Linked DNA regions of Mus musculus: region 2 is reported to be linked to region 1. Evidence: microRNA targets listed by miRTarBase, many of them from high-throughput screens and not tested one by one. Region 1 holds a microRNA gene; the other region holds the end of a gene's coding sequence. Distances are from middle to middle.

Region 1 (7,000 bases):
ACTTCTGAGTCTTCGAAGCCTCGGAGAACAAAGCTTGCCTTTGATGACAGGTAAGATAAACTTTGTGGGTTTTGTTTTTTGTTTTGTTTTGTTTTTTTGAGACATGATTTTCTATGTAGTCTTGAGTGGCCTGGAGCCACTGTGTAGACCAGGCTGGCCTCAAACTCTTAGAGGTTGACTTGCTTTAGCCTCCCAGTGTCTGGATTAAAGGCATGTGCCACCATACCAGCTTTAAAGAGTAAATACACTTCCGTGCATTTTAGAAATTCTAGTCAGTGTATAATAAACTCACTTAAGTATGTCAGATCCTATATGATTAATACTTGTATCTGACCTACAGAATATTCAGATTTTTAACATGAAAGGCATCTTTAATCTTGCTACTCTTTTAACAACCAGTGACTCTCCAGAGTGACAGGAAAGATGTTCTTCCTAGAGCTAATCCTGCTGTGAGTACTACTGCTGAGAATAGTGGTCTCAGAGAAGCAATGTCACTTTCTCTTTCTTGCCTTCTGTCAGAAGGTACTTCTTCTATCTGCATAACATTTATTCATGGTTTTTAAAACAAAACAAAACAAAAAACTTGATTAAGCTAATGTTTAACACTAGGGAACGTGATCTGTGTACTTGAGTAGAAGATTTGCCATAGTAGCCCATAATTTATGTTCTTAATCTATACACATTTGTTGGGAAGTTGAAATGTTTATTAATAATTTATTATTGTTTTGTTTTTTTGTTTTTTGTTTTTGTTTGTTTGTTTGTTTTTCAAGACAGGATTTCTCTTTATAGCTCTGGCTGTCCTGGAGCTCACTTTGTAGACCAGGCTTGCCTCGAACTCAGAAATCCACCTGCCTCTGCCTCCCGAGTGCTGGAATTAAAGGCGTGAGCCACCACTCCTGGCAATAATTTATTATTGTTGTAAAATATTTAAAACTCATTCACCTCCTGAGAATGTGAAAGTTGTAAGATACTAGACACTAAAACAACTTTGTAATTTTCTTAGGAAATTTTGACCATTTTTATTTATAAAAATAAAAGCTGGGCTTGGTGGCGCACGCCTTTAATCCCAGCACTCGGGAGGCAGAGGTAGGTGGATTTCTGAATTCGAGGCCAGCCTGGTCTACAAAGTGAGTTCCAGGATAGCCAGGGCAATACAGAGAAACCCTGTCTCAAAAAAACCAAAATAAATAAATAATAAATAAATAAATAAATAAATAAATAAATAAAATTTATTTAAAAAATTGTTTTTTGCAGAAATTATTCAGCAGACCATTATTTACAAGAAGCAAAAAAACTCAAACACAATGCAGATGCTTTGGTATGTAAATATTCCTGATGTGCTTCATTAAACTTATATTCAGGTTTTGACATGTGTACCCTTCTGTTGTGTGTATTTGCAGTGGGTCATTAATCAGCACTGTTTTCCTTTAGTCTGACAGGTTTGAGAAAGCCGTGTACTACCTTGATGCTGTAGTGTCTTTCATTGAGTGTGGGAATGCATTAGAGAAGAACGCTCAGGAATCCAAGTCCCCATTCCCTATGTACTCAGACACGGTGGAGCTCATTAAGTAAGTGGGGACTATCTTTATCAGTTATTACTGTTACTTAGTTATTGACATACTGATATGGTAAACTGAGAAGATACTTAGTGTTCCATTTTTCTTAGGGACGATTTTAGTGGGTGTTTTATTTAGGGTTGATTCTGATATTTTTATAATATAAGTTCTAAGATCAAGGTGAAATATTCTGTTCTTTTTTTATCTCAACTCATAGGTACACTATGAAACTAAAGAATTATTTGGCACCAGATGCTACAGCTGCAGACAAGAGACTCACAGTACTTTGGTAAGTGTTTTGTCTTCTAGCCTTTGCTTGGGAAACAGGCAGTTTCTTGATGAATTGTGCTGTGTGTGCTTTTATGAGTATTACCCATGAATCAGTCTTCCACAACCTCTTCACAAACCTTAACAGTCAAACAGGAAATAGCTCAAACCCCTACTGAAAGGTTTTAGCTCCTGTCTCTAATCCAGTGCCCTCTTGATGAATGTGCTGGAGTAGGACCAATGCTGGACCCCTCCATTGAATTAAGTGACCAGTTTTTAAAGCTCTTTTTATACATGCCCCTTGTCTTAGTTAGGGTTTCCATTGCTGTGAAGAGACACCATGACCAAGACAACTTGTATAAAGGAAGACATTTAGTTGGGGCTGGCTTACACTTATAGAGGTACAGTTCATTATCATCATGGCAGGAAGCAAAGTGGCCTTTGCTGGGGTTGTGAGCAGGAATAACAATTGTGTGGACTGAACTGTGTGAGCTGGGTGAATGTTGCTGTATTCCATCTCACTCAATGTTCAGTTTCCAACTTTTAGTTTTTAACTTTTAAAAGATATTTGAATTATAGTATGTTGGTATAGTCTTAATTTTGAATGTCAGTAATAATGGGATATTAAGAGTTTCTTAGCTACTTTTCTTTCCCTATGGTGTGTTCTATATTAAGCTGACCTCTTGGTTTTGTTTGAGAGGTAACATTGACCCTGGGCCATGGTTGCTCAAATGAAGCCAGCCCTATATTCCTACACAATGGAAAGACTGCTTGTAGATGGCGCCATGTCTATATACACTGCCCTTTTCCATTGCCTAGCCTGAGATGCCAGTCATTATTGTACCTGAGGCTGTTCAAACTGAAGAAGGAGAACGCTCTCAAGTACTCCAAGACGCTAACTGAGCACCTGAAGGTCAGTATGTATAACACAGTCCATTGCTTATGAGACAAAATGTGGAAACCTTTCCCTCCCTGTCCCAGAGATACTCTCATATTTAGGCACAACATGCCAAGAGAGGAACAAACTACTGCTTAGAAGTTCTCAGATGTGTTTGTACTTTCTTGGGAAAGCCTTCAAGTACGGATATTGGATTACATTTTTATAGCCGTAAATGGTAGCCATATCTGTCCTAGAAAATAGTCTTTGTATTTTTCATACCACCTGTCTTCAAACTGTTACCTTGTTTTGTTTTGTCCCTTACACTACTAGTGATGGAACTCAGGGCATTCTAAGCAAGTGCCAACCACTGAAGTATACCCCAGACAGGAGACAGGATTATTGCAGTGCCCTACATACCTTCCTTTTTATTTCAAGCTAGTACCATATAATTCTCCTCAAATTCTGTTGTAGTTAGGACTTTAAACTCCTCCATAACTCATTGTTGCCTATAAGCTCAAGGTCTGGCCTATAAGGTCCTGAAGTGTTTCTTATTTCTTGTCTAAACCTCTCTTTATACAACCTACATGGGTTATGGGTATTTTCTTTTCTGTCTGGTTTTGTATATAATATGACTTGTTCCCATGTGTCTTTTTTTTTCTTCCTCCTCCTTTCATTTATCTCTGTTATTCATTGGGTTTTTTCCCCCCTTTTCCTTCCCCACCCTACTCCCACCCCCTCAGTTTTTCAAGACAGGGTTCTCTGTGTAAAAGCCCTGGCTATCCTGAACTCTCTTTGTAGACTGGGCTAGCCTCGAGCTCAGAGACCCACCTGCCTCTGTCTTCCAAGTGCTGGGATTAAGGATGTGCACCAAGCCCAGCTACTCGTCTTTGAAGTCTTCTAGAACAATCTAGCTTTTCACTTAGTAATTTCTTTCTGTTGTACATTCATACATCCTTTGCTGTTGTTTTTAAAGATTTATTGGCCTGCCGAAATGGCTTAGTGCTTAAGAGCACTGACTGCTGTTCCAAAAGACCCAGATTCAATTCCCAGTTTTCACATGGCCACTTACAACTCTGTGTGTTCCACAGGATCTGACATCCTCTGGCCTCTGATGGCATCAGGAATGCATGTGATACACAGATATACATGTAGGCAAAATACCTGTACATAAAAAAAATACTAAAACATATAAAGATCTCTCTCTCTCTCTCTCTCTCTCTCTCTCTGTGTGTGTGTGTGTGTGTGTGTGTGTGTGTGTGTGTGTGTGTGTTCGTGTTCGTGTTCTCAGAGGCCAGAGGAAGATCCAGATCTCTTGGAGTAGAGTGAGCTGCCCAGCTTGGGTGCTGGGATCTAAAGGCAGAACCTCTGGAAGAGCAACAGTTGCTCTTAACCACTGAGCCATCTCTACCGTCATGTTACTTTTCTGTGATAGTGTCTCATCTAGTCTAAGCTGACCTCAAACTCCCTATGGAGCCAGTTTTTTCAATAAAGTTCTCAAGATCAACCCTAGCCCAAACACTTTGGAAGATACTGAATGCCTTAAAAGTTATATATATTGCTGTTAAATATTTTTTTTTTCCCATGCAGAATTCTTACAGTAATTCTCAAGCACCTTCACCCGGCTTGGGGAGGTAGGTACAGTTTTGTTCTCTGATATATTTTTGATTAGCTTATTTGTGGATCAGAGTAGAAATGGACAGCAGAATGGTTGCTAATTTTAAAGTATTACAATCTCTAGTAAGGTGTTTTAAACTTTATTTTTTTGATGTTTGGAATTGAATCCAGGGCCTTTGGAGCGCTTTCCTACTACGTTTTGCCTCTAGAAAAGTACTTTCTTTTTAAATTATTCTTTCCAATTTAATAATTTTAAATATAAAGAATTTTAAGAGAGGTTAGAAATGAGATATGTCAACAGCTCAGACATCTGAGTTGGCTTTTGGTTTGGTTTTCTTTCTCTCTCCTCCCATATAAGTTCATAAATGTTCTTATGTTGTCAGGCTTGGTGGCAAGCACCCTTACCCCTGAGCCATCTCACTAGCCCCCCAGTTAAGTTTTTAACAGTACCTTGAGTCTTCTCAGGTTGATTTTCATGTCACTTAGGTTTGTTACAATGGTTTAAACTTCACTCAGACCTTTCATTGCTAGAATACAGTGGCTTGGTTTTGATATATCTTCCATTCCACATTAACCCCTTCTTGCCTACACCCGAAAGGGGAACAAACATCCTGCAAACTTAGATTTACTTTTTCATTTTCTCAGTTCATCTATGGAGTCTTTGTTTTAATGTGAGTTGACAGTCCATCTTATTTTCCCTTGTCTACATACCCAGGGCTGATGTAAAACCCAGAGCCTTTTGCATGGTAACAAGTGCTCTCTCACTGAGCTGTGTCCTTTTTAATTTGTTCTTTTGAGACAGGAGCCCAGGTGACTTCCATTCTACAGTATGCTAATTTCATAGTATTCACTATGTGTGTGTGAATAAGTATCCTGTTTCTCTTTGTGTGTAGCAAAGCTGTTGGGATGCCCTCCCCTGTTTCTCCAAAACTGTCACCAGGCAATTCTGGAAGTTACTCTTCTGGGGGAAGTAGTGCTTCAGCAAGTGGTTCTTCAGTGACCATTCCACAGAAAATCCACCAGATGGCAGCAAGCTATGTCCAGGTTACATCTAACTTCCTCTATGCCACAGAAATTTGGGACCAAGCTGAACAGCTTTCCAAAGAACAAAAAGGTTTGTTGGGCACTGGATAAACTTTGATAATAGAATAGTTAAAAGAAACATTTGTAATTTAGTTAAGTATGTGGAGACCACTTACTTTATTTTGTGGTTTAAAGACAATCATAATCAATTTGCTAATAACATTCTTTGCTTAGCTGCATACTAACTATGACTAGATGTGGTTAAAATTCCCTTGGGCTGTGCATGCCTCCCTGTTAGATTACTTTCACAGCATGCATAAGACCCTGGTTTGACCCCCTAACGTGAAGGATGGGGAACAGATGAACTGATGTGGGGGAAGGGACATAGACAAACGGCTTTTGTGGTAATGCTGACACAAACTAAACTAGAAGTAGTTCTTGGTATAAGACAGATACCTCTCTATTCTGGCATATTGGAAGTAGCTCACGGGGTAGTACCTTGTCTATGATCAACTTTCTGCTGTAGTCTCAAATACACCTTAAACAATATAGCAGTTGGATCTGCAAGATGACTCAGTAGGTAAAGATGCTTACCACAAAGCCTGAGTTCAAGCCTCAGGACCTACTTGGTGGAAGGTGAGAAGAAACTCCACAGTTTTCCTCTGACTCAACACAAGTACACTGTGACACATCCACAGACAGATAAATGTAAGAGAGAGAGAACCATTAAGAAAATAGATGAGTTGGATTTGTTTTATATAGTATTCAAGCAAGGTCTAAATGCTGCATTTTGTAAGTAGCTCTCCCCCTTATTTGGCCATGCCATTGATGTTTGAAGAAACTGAATCATAGACGATATCATTCTGCATATGACCATTTCTTCCTCATGCTGCCATTACACTTGTTATTTTATCTTTCTTAGTTCCTTTCTATTGATTAGATTCAAGTTTAGTATTAGATATAATACTCTAGGTGGTTCATCTTATTAAAATATACCTAGTTACCTAAGGTATTGTGTTAGGATTCTGTTGCTGTGAACAGACACCATGACTGCTGCAACTCTTACTAATGAAACCACTTGATTGGGGCTGGCTTACAGTTCAGAGGTTCAGCAATTTATCATGACAGGAAGCATGGTGGCACACAAGCAGACATGGTGTTGGAGAAGTCGCTGAGAGTGCTACATCTGGCTCTGTAGGCAACAGAAAGAAGCAGTGATGCCACTAGGCCTGACTTGACCTTCTGAGACCTCCAAGCCTGGCCATAGGAACAACTTCCTCCAACAAGGCCACACCTCCTAACTCACTCATTATAGGCTTATAGGACCCATTGTTTTTCAAACCACCACAGGTTTGAAATTAATACCCAATATTGATATTAAGATTTATCAGACCTAAGCCAGTTGGTGGTAGTACATGCCTTTAGTCCCAGAACTTGGGAGGCCAAAGGCAGGTGGGTCTCTGAGTTCAGGGCCATCCTGGTCTAAGAGCAAGTTCCAGGATAGCCAAGGCCATTACATTGAGAAACCCTATCTCAAAAAACCCAAATAAATAAGTATGTAAGTAAGTAAATAAATACATAGATAAATAATCATCAGACTGAGCAAGGTGAAGTAGGCCTATCGTCTCAGAAGCATTGCAAGTTGGAAACCAGTCTGATG
Region 2 (10,109 bases), 52 Mb from region 1:
GAGAGAGAGAGAGAGAGAGAGAGAAGAAGAAGAAGAAGAAGAAGAAGAAGAAGAAGAAGAAGAAGAAGAAGAAGAAGAAGAAGAAGAAGAAAGAGGAGGAGGAGGAGGAGGAGGGAGGCCAGCCATAAGCATGTGGAGAGAGGGGGAAGGGAAGAGCAAGAGAACAAGAGCCCAAGAGAACAAGAAAGGAACAAGAGAGGGAGGAGGGGGCAAGCAGCCCCTTTTATAGTGGGTCAGGCACACCTGGCTGTTGCCAGGTAACTGTGGGGGTGGAGTTTAGACAGACGCTAACAGTGCCTACCTGTGCGGGTTAATTTACTTCCAAGAGAAGGGAAGAAGGAGCCTCCACTAAGGAATTGCCCCTGTCCTGTTTGGCCTGTGAGCATGTCTGTGGAGCATTTTCTTTGTTTTTTTTGTTTTGTTTTGTTTTGTTTTGTTTTGTTTTGTTTTGTTTTGTTTTGTTTTGTTTTGTTTTTCCAGACAGGGTTTCTCTGTATAGCTCTGGCTGTCCTGGAGCTCACTTTGTAGACCAGAACTCAGAAATCCGCCTGTCTCTGCCTCCCAAGTGCTGGGATTAAAGGCGTGCGCCACCATGCCCGGCCGAGCGTTTTCTTGATTAATGATGACTGGCGAGGTCTCAGCTTGTCACCCCTGGGTAGGTAGGTCTGGTGATTTCTTAACTCGGACTGAGGAAGCTGTGGGGAACAAAGCTGTAAGCATAATTCTTCTACGGTCTCTGCTTCAGCTCTGGCCTCTAGGTTCCTTGAGTTCTTACCTTGACTTCCCTCAGTGATGGACTGGAACATGAAAGTGTAACTTGGAACAAACTCTGTCCTCCTCTGTGGCCTTGGTTTTATCACAGTGACAGGTACGTACTACATAACCTAAGGGTGGAGATTGAGAACTGGACTCTACAAAGTTGCCCTCTGACCTCCACATGCCTGTGATACATGGATGCCCAACCCCTACAATAGTGAGGGGAAAAAATTTTAACTCAAGGCCACCTTCTACTATGTAACAAATTTGGAGCCAACCTGGGTTACATGAGACCATCTCAAACAAAATTAGATCGAAGTCCTATAGCACTAAAGATCTAGCTCAGTGAGTAGAGTGCTTGCCCAGGGTCCTGGGTTGGTATCCCTAGCACTGCAAGTCATGATTATATAAATGTATATAATGATGATTATTCAAAGCCCACAGTCTCTGCTGCTTCAGAATGGGAGACAGGATTCTTTACGCCCAGGAGGTAACATTTTGCTTTGTTCTGGCCTGAGGATGAACCCCAGGGTCTTTCACAAGCCCCCCTGCTTCTCTGTACTCCCAGCCTTGAGCACAGGAAGTCTAGGCTAGATAACACAGCAAGATCTCGGCTCCCAATGAAAATAAAGTTTTACCGAGAGCTGACTGGAGGCCAAAGTGGCTATGTCAACATCCTGCCAGCTCCAGTCTTCTGTAAGACGTGTTCAGGCAGCTCCACCCAGACCAGCAGGTCTCAACCTATGGTTTCCGACCCCTTTGGGGGTCACATATCTGATATCCTGAACATCAGATATTTATATTCCAATTCATAACGGTAGCAACGGCTATGAAGTAACAATGAAATAATGTTATGCTTGGGGGTCATCACAACATGGGGAACTGTATTAAAGGGTCTCAGCATTAGGAAGGCTGAGAAACCCAAAGGTTTTCACCAGTAAGTCATTGAGGGGCTAGAAGATGGCTCAGTGGGTAAAGCGCCCACTGTGAAAGCATGAAGACTTGAGTGTGGGTCCCTGGCACCCACACAAAAAGCTGAGCCTGTCCATGCTTGTCTGTAATCTCAGCACGAATTTTGTTTGTTCAGCCAGCCCAGGTTCAGTAAGAGACCCATTCTACAAAAACAAGGCAGAGAGCAACAGGGGAAGGCACCCAGTGTAGACTTCTGGGTTTCACACTCAGGCACGCGGTACACAACCAATGGCATACACGCTGATACACATATTACACATCAAAAAAATTTGTTTTGCTTTTTTGTTTTTCAAGACAGGGTTTCTCTATCAGTAGCCCTGGCTATCCTGGAACTTGCTCTATAGACCAGGCTGACCTCAAACTCACAGAGATCTGCCTCTACCTCCTGAGTGCTAGAATTAAAGGCATGCACCACCACTGCCTGGCCTAAAAAAAACTTTTATTGAAAACTGTGTTCTTTTCTATATAAAATGATTTCAAGGATTTACCCAGATAACCAGGATTGTTTCCAATGAAGTCAGCCATGAGAGAGACACTGAGAATTCGTGTCTACCTCTGGCTCCAGCAACCCACAGGTCTGCTTTTGACTTCTTGGTATTCAAAGGGTCATGTTTCATCATTGATCAAAAGGCAGGGGTTGGCTCTCCTGCTCATGACCTCTGTGACACACTACAGCCTCCAGAATGGGATGTCTTTGCTTTTTATTTGGGGACAGAGGTTGCAGGGGTGGAACACAGATATGAGGGGATGGGGAGATGAGTGGGATTGGGGTGCGTGGTGTGAAACTCAAAAAGAATCAGTAAAAAGTTTGTAAAGAGGCAGGTTGTACGGGGCCATCTTTCCCTCTGTGAATCAGCGACTCCATCAGAGCGAGATTGAAGAGCCCTGGGTGGGTCCCAGAATCTTCTCAAGCTTTCTCACTGTTGGGAATTGAACCCAGGCAAGCGCAACTACCACCAAACCACAGACACAAACCAAACCTATGGCCAGCATCACAACTGCCATACCACATCAGCTAATTATGCACCAGGATGAGAGCCCATAAAGAGGAGGAGGCACCTGGACAGAGGTTTCCATAGAGAGAGACGCACATGGAGGTGAAGTGAGCCTGTGGGCCCCACTTAGGGAGCACTTCCTGTGAACTTACCATGGGGATAAATGAGCCCTTGACTCTGGCTGCAGCCCTCACAATCAACCTGTGTTATTAACCCTGTGTTGCCTGGGAGGAAGCTTACCTTTGGGAGGTTGTGTGACTCAAGTAGCCCTCTGAAGTTCATAGTATCTGTTAAGTCTATTGAGCAAAGCCATGCACCCAACCCGTGAGCTCTGTGACAAAGAGAACAGATAGCATTCGCTATCAGCTCCAGGCAGGGATTTCAGGGGTCTCAGAGCCAGCACTTGCAACAAAGGCCCCTGGAAGAAGGGCTGCAGAGAGGGCTCAGCAGTCAAGAGCCCTGGCTGCTCACCCAATAGACCTAGGTTTCAATTCCCAGCACCCACATAGTGCCTCACAACCACCTGTAACTCCAGTTCTACGATATCCAATTCCCACTTCTGGCCTCCATAGACACTAAGCCTGTGTGTGGTCCACAAACACATGCACAGGCAAAACACCCACACTCACAGCATTAACAACAGTAGCACAAAGCCAAGGAAGCGAGAAGAGAACAAGGTTTTTAATGGCTTGTGGAGTCCAGGAGAGGGAAACTGAGGTGGTAGGAGAGGGCTGACCAACAGGGAGGACCAGGTTTTCGAGCATTTATTTAACATATATGAGGGAATGGAGACTATATACGATACTATTTATATAATGCATTTTATACAAGGGGCTTGGACTTGGACAGCCGTGCATATAGAGAGCAGCAGCAGATCGTGGAATGAACCCACTGGAATAGCAAGGGGAGATTGTGTCTAATAACAGTTTGTTGTCCTTATCGTGGAGGACACCTCGCACTTTCCTCAAATTCCAAGGGAGGAGGACAGTGCAAATCTGCAGAAGCTGATGGAATTACAGTGTCAGAGGGCCAGGTGTCTCCCCCTGCCTGGCACAGCTGGACACCCTACAGTAACAGAGGGCCAGGTGTCTACACACACACGCACACACACACGCACACACACAGCTGGACACCCCACAGTAACAGAGGGCCAGGTGTCTCCCCTATGGACAGCTAGACACCCCACAGACCTCAGGGGTGTCTGGAAGTAAGACAGTATGGATGGAACTAGAAAAGTGTCACTGCCTGGGATCCCCAGAAAAGCCACCAGCCAACTGATAAATTCAGTATTTGGCTTCTCTGAATACATGGCCTTGAACCTTGGTGCCTGGCAGTTGCTCAGACCTCTTTCTAGTGTCTGTAACTACTTGCTTTTCAGACAAGGAAGGGTTAAAGCCAGCCCCTCCCCTTTGATGCAATGGAGCTGATTCTGATGGGAGCCAAAGACTGAAGTCAGCAGTTCCCTGAGGCCTCTTGGCAACACCCTCCTAAGGAAAGTCAGGCCTGCGGGAAGATCTGGGCACTTTCTTCTCATGCTGGACCCTCTTCAATCCCTCATTTGTCCTCTTCTGACTTCCCTGAGTGTCTCCTTTCTGCCTTCCCTCACGATGCTAGTTCTTTACCTCAGGTCTGCCAGAGACTCCTGCCCCACTGGTCCAGGCAGCTTGACCAGGTTTGGGCGGCTCTGTTCCAGGATAGCCATGTGGTGAGGCTGGCTGGCTCCTTGCCCCTGTGGCCTCAGAGAGCTGCCCACTGGGCCAGGCCTGCTCTGCCAGGGTACCTGGGAGGAGGCCATCTCTGCTTTGATAGGAGATAGGGGAATGCTGTTCTCTGGAGAGCTGCCCTGTCTTCCCATTCATTCATGGATTCATTGAGCTGTCACTGAATATTCAGGTGCTCGAAGCTGGGCCAGTTCAGACCTGCAAGGGAAAGCTGGGCTCCGTGCCTGGTAGACAGTGCCCTTCGCTCAGGCCTGGGACAGGTCTCAGGCCATCTGCCACTCAGCAGGCTCCGCAGAGAACCTGGCACACAGAAGAGATGCTTCGTGGTCAACTGAACTGAGCCCCACCAGAAGATAGAAGTCCTTGTCACATGTTCTAAAACTAGAACTGGCTGGGAGCCAGAGGGCAAGTGGCCAGGTCCAGAGCCTTCTTCCTGACCACTCAGAGAACTACGGGAACATTCCCTAACTCTTCTGCAGGAAGGCTTAGAACATACTCTCTGGGGAGCCCCCAGGCCTAAGAGGCTGTAGGACAAACTTGGATTGAATGTGGCCTCTGGCAAGACTCCAGTCACCAGAGAAAGAAAAGGAAAAATTAACTTGTCAAGGTTTGGGGAGTCAATTCATGCTTGCCCTGGAAGGGTGAGGGCCTGGGTTCGAATCCTCAGCACCCACATAAAACCCAGGAGCAGCAGCTGCCTATGCTCGTAACTCTTGGGGGTACAGATAGGTAGATTTCTGGGGCTGCTGGGGTCAGTAGGCTTGCTTACCCAGTCAGCTGCTGGCATGCACATGCTCTCTCTCTCTCTCTCTCTCTCTCTCTCTCTCTCTCTCTCTCTGTCTCTCTCTCAAATAGATGGGTGGCACTGGACATTTGGAGCCTCATTCCTTCAACTACTCAAATGACCCAATAGAGCTCACACTGCTTTTTACCACGCTGCTTCCTTCTCTCTCAGGGCAATGGTCACTGGCATCCCTGCCCTCAGAGCCGCTCCCAGCAGCCTGAAGAGCAACCCTTGAGCCACAGCTAGTAGCAAAGCACTCGACTCACAAAGGGGCTACTCTGGCCTCTGTTTGGAGAGCAAATCACTTGAAGGTAAAGTGGGTTAATCATTAAGGACCTTACTTTGGATTGACGGTCCCTTCCGTCCCTTCCGGAATGCCTGGCCTACCTATCTCCCATGGGTCTTGTGAGAGCTGCAGAGTAGGGACAGCTGGAGGAGCCCACACACACACACACACACACACACACACACACACACACTCAGGAATGCAGCTCACGGACTCTCTAGAGTTCTTCTGTCTTGGGCGGTCCCACCCATTCATCCTGCACATCTGATCCCGGCAGAAAGCAGCTGATCTGCTGTCCCCCTGGGCAATCCAGATCCCATGTTTCCTAGTGGCTTCCCCCAGCCTGAATCAAACATTGGAAAGAGACTCGGAAAACCATCATGGCAGGAGCGTCCAGGGTGGATGGGCAAGGGAAGGAGCGAGAACATTCAATGGGTGTCTTTATGTATTCTTTTCACTCCTTTAGGCTCTGAACCACATGACCACACTGCCTATCCAAAACAAGTAGAACTAAGATTTTAAAAGTCCTGGACAGGGTAAGCCTGAGAACGCACAACGCCTCTAAACCACCGCTAGTGTTCCAGGCCAAACCAGCCACCATCTTCTGAGGTCTTAATGATTGCAAGGGCTTCCTCTGCTTCCCCTCCCCCATCTCCCATCCATTGTCTGTGTCCCTTACCGCGGTTACAATGAACTTGTTAAAGATCAGATCAGCCATTCCCACTGGCAGCCTTCCTTACAGTATCCACCATGCCACTGCGTCCTGGCCTGCACCCACTCAGCCACACTCCTGCAGTCACCCTGTCGGTCCTCTGAGACATTAGGGACCCTCTGCTCCCACTCTGGTCCAGGTATTCATATTGCTCACCCTACACACACACACGCACACACACACACACACACACACACACACACACACACACACACACAATGTAATAAAAAAAAACTTTAGAAATAAGAGTAGCAGTTAGCATTTATGGAGTGCTTACTGCATGCACTCAGAGGCACTTGGTAAGGACACTCACCACATCCTTAAGCATCTTTCCGACAGCCCAACCCTAGGAGATCCTCTACGCCCTATTCAAGCTGATGGGACAATGAGCTCAGGTGCCCAAGTTCACACGCTTGTAGGCAGGGACGACTTGTCTCCTGAGGAGAGCCAAAAGCTCAGAGGCAAAATGGCAGGCTACAGAAACAACTGGACAGAGCTGCCATCTGTCCCTACAGGGCTGCGGGGGTCAGACTCTGCAGAGAAGGAGGCACAAACGCTGACTTCTCAAGCCTCTGGAAGGTTTTTATTTGTTTGCTATTCTTTTTCTCTTTTTCCTTCTTTAAAAAAAAAAAAAAAAAGACAAACAATAATAGCACATTTCGAGAATCAAGAACTACAATAGAGGGTCCGCTTTGAGTTTTTGTTCACATCGTCCTGCACTGGGACACGGGGACTGGCACTCTCCATCCTGGCTGGGACTCTCCTCTGGAAAAAGGTGCTGAGTGGTTCCATGAGTTGGTCTCCTAGGCCACACCAGATGGTAGCACCTGGTGCTGTCCCAGGTTACAGCCTCACCAGCGCCCCTCCCCCTCCAAACCATCTTCCCTCTCTCCAAGCCAGAGCCAGAAGCCGGAGACATTAGGGAACTTATTTTGGTCCCCACAGGGGACTCTTTCAAGGACAGAGCCCTCCCCTGACCAGCAGGAGATGACACCCTGTGAGTGGATAAGGTGTCTCTCCGAAGTTCCATCTCTACTCCAGCAGACACCACACCGGTGCCCTGGTTTGTACACCTGAGCCACCTAGGCTCCCTCCTGCCATACCCTAGGTCCATTCCAGCAGGCACAGGAGTGACAGATGCTTGGCCAGCCTCTTCAGCTGACCCCCACCCAGAGAGAAAGAGAGAGAGAATGAGAGAGAGAGAGAGAGAGAGAGAGAGAGAGATCACCCAAGTCCCAGGGCCATGGCTCAGAAGGAGGCACTGGGTGGAAAAAAAGGCACGAGGGCAGGGTGAGGAGACAGAGCTGATGTAGCCGAGTAGGAGAGGTGACAGAGAGCCACCCCAAGGGACGGGGCAGGCTTTCCAGGCCTACAGATAGGAAAGAATCCTAGGCTGCAGGTCAGCAGGTTTAGGCTCAGGGATCTGGGGAGGAAAAGACATGAATAAGCTCATGTCCCTTCTCATATTGCCTCCAGTTGCCATGGGGTCCAGGTCCAGGTGACACGATCCCAGGCCCAAGGGAAAGGGGAACATGACCCACTGCCAAGTCTCAGCCTAGCCTCTATGGTAGGCTGGGTACTCCCACCCCATGGCAAGCTATGCCCCCGGCACCCAGTAGCAACTCCCAAGGGTTGCCATCCAAAGACAACTGGGCTGATGGGTGATGGGGGCCTGCTGACCTGGGGCCCCTGCCTTACCCGCTCTGGCTCCACCCCGACCACGCCCTTGGGGCCCCTGCCTCCCCCGCTTTGGCTCCACCCCGACCACGCCCTTGGCTCTATTCTTGCTGTTCGTTCATTTCCATGTCAGACACCAGAATGTTCTTCTCGGTGGCCTCTGCGGGGCCAGAGTGGCTGCTGCGACTGTAGCGGGCCCCCTCGAAGGACCCACGCTCCGCACTCTGTCGGCGCCGGTAGAGGATGAGGGCTGCCGTCATCAAGGCCAGGAGGAGCAGCACCGCTGTCAGCACCACCACCAGGGCAACCGGGCTCTCGGGGAGGGCTGCTGAGATGGAGGTGGGGAGTTCACATCAGGCCCCAGTCATGACCACAGGGACAGAGGAGCCAGCGAAAGAACCAGGCCGGGGCTCGCTCATTCCCTCCACTCACCTGATGGCAAGAAGCTGTTCTCTTCCACTGTAGGAGAGGAGAGAGCCAGAGAATCACAATCAGTCCTCACAGAAATCATAGTCACAATTTAAATAAGTGCCTGTGAACTGCTTTGTGAATGTCACCTTGCAGAGTCACTGAACCTCCCAGGACTCTAGGACCTGGCTTCTACTATTTCCGTTCTATATATGAGGAAGCTGATGGGACAGGTGTGTGTGTGTCTATGTATGTGTTCTTATAGGTGAATATAAGCAGATACTTGTGAGTGTGCATGTGCGTAGAGGTCAGAGGTCAAGGTTATTGCACTGTGTCTTCCTTGATGCCTCTCTACCTCGGTGTTTTGAGGCAGGGTCTACCACTGAACCTACAACGTATGGATTCAGCTCATGGCTGGTGAATGAGCTCCAGGGGCCTATAAAACACAAATACACGTCTCCCTTTCTGTCTTAGGGTTACAGGTGATGGCACTCAATGTTGGGATTTTATTGGGGTGCTGGGAATCTTAACTCGGATCCTGGTGCTTGCGTGACTTTACCAAATGGACTATATCCCCAGGCCTCAGAGTCAATACGTGAGTGTCCAGGGCTTGACCATCCCTTGTCCCTAACCACTATAGAATGATGGGGCTTGCTGTCCTCTGGGCTTATGTGTACTTTGGAAAGTTGAGGCCCTGCGTCAGTCCTTGCTGCAAACTAATGTACTTGATGCCCTCCGGCCAAAGCAGATGCCCCTGTATATCAAGTAACCCTAGACCCAGCTGGACATCCAGCTGTGAGTCCAGCTATGGGCCCAGCTGTTGACCGAGATCCTGGCTTACCTCTAGGGAGCTTGCAGACAACTCCCATGGTGATGTTGGTACAAGCCCCGGGGCGCCACAGTCCGCTGCTGCTCTGGATCCAGTAGCAGCTGTTGTGGCTTAGCATGCTAGGGCCCAGGCCAGGGGGCCCCCAGTTAGAATAGTTCACAGCTGTGTTGTCTTGCCAGACCAGCGTGCCTCCTGTGGAAGGAACCCATTGGGAAGGTGTGGGAATGGGAATAGGTGGAAGGGGGGTTTCTAGGTGGGAGGCGATAACCACGATCCACTGCTGTACTTTCACAAGCCTGGAGACAGTGGTAAGCATCCCTCTTGCAGCCTGAGCCCTTCCCTTCCCGTACACAGAGCACCCACCTTTGGGGTTGAAGTTCATGCCCAACCAGGCACCTCGACTTTGGGCTTCAGCTGTCTGCAGGTGCTCCCAGACAAACACATTCTCCATCTCATCAAGAATGGACAGAACCGTCCCACCAGCTGGACACAAAGAAAGCCCATGTCAGGACAAGCAGATTCTCCTTATGGTGATAGACCCCCCCCCCAAACTACTTCCCCCCCCTCCCGCTTCACAGCAACCCCGGCACTCTTCTCTGGCAGCTCAAGTGCAAGATGGTGTGAATCTCAGCACTTGTGGACCGTGGGATATTCTGTAGATGACACAACATGGTCTGTGTATTAAACAGCGAGGGGAGCTTGAGATAAGTGCCTATAGGCAGAGGGGAAGTTCTTTCTCCAGGCCTCAGAGTCCCGGATCTGGGCTAGGCTGCTCTCACCCACCTTTCTGACAGCGCTGCAGCGCCTCCTTGTGGCCCAACAGCACCTCCATGTGGAAAGAATAGCAATGCTCCCTGAAGGGAATCCAGGACGAGTCAGCCAAGCCCTGAGGACAGCTGCCACGGTAGTTTATCCTTCGGGGTGGGGGCCCTGTTGGAGTGCAGAATTGAAGACGTAGCCCGAACATCT

What was found. Region 1 holds the annotated microRNA mmu-miR-6920-5p (ACACAAUGGAAAGACUGCUUGU, at 2,577-2,598, shown strand). A microRNA usually pairs through its seed, bases 2 to 8, with sites in the 3' UTR of a target mRNA and lowers its output. Matches are read on the target gene's strand: a 7mer-m8 pairs with bases 2 to 8, a 7mer-A1 pairs with bases 2 to 7 and ends in A, and an 8mer does both.
Region 2: the mRNA of Mrc2 is a reported target of mmu-miR-6920-5p. The part of its 3' UTR that is shown has no 7-base or 8-base seed match.

The regions. Positions count from the first base shown.
Region 1 is chr11:53,406,626-53,413,625 of GRCm38, forward strand. Mir6920 (microRNA 6920) reads left to right here and starts at 2,572; the gene lies at 2,572-2,642. It overlaps Aff4 (AF4/FMR2 family, member 4), which reads left to right. Exons shown (of 21, transcript NM_033565.2): 14 at 1-50; 15 at 1,255-1,318; 16 at 1,432-1,568; 17 at 1,774-1,845; 18 at 2,643-2,736; 19 at 4,291-4,334; 20 at 5,211-5,431.
Region 2 is chr11:105,347,821-105,357,929 of GRCm38, reverse strand. It overlaps Mrc2 (mannose receptor, C type 2), which reads right to left. Exons shown (of 30, transcript NM_008626.3): 26 at 9,924-10,070; 27 at 9,504-9,623; 28 at 9,153-9,332; 29 at 8,336-8,362; 30 at 6,785-8,231. The coding sequence ends at 8,005. Among named protein-coding and RNA genes, the nearest start is that of Mrc2, 60 kb to the right of the region's middle.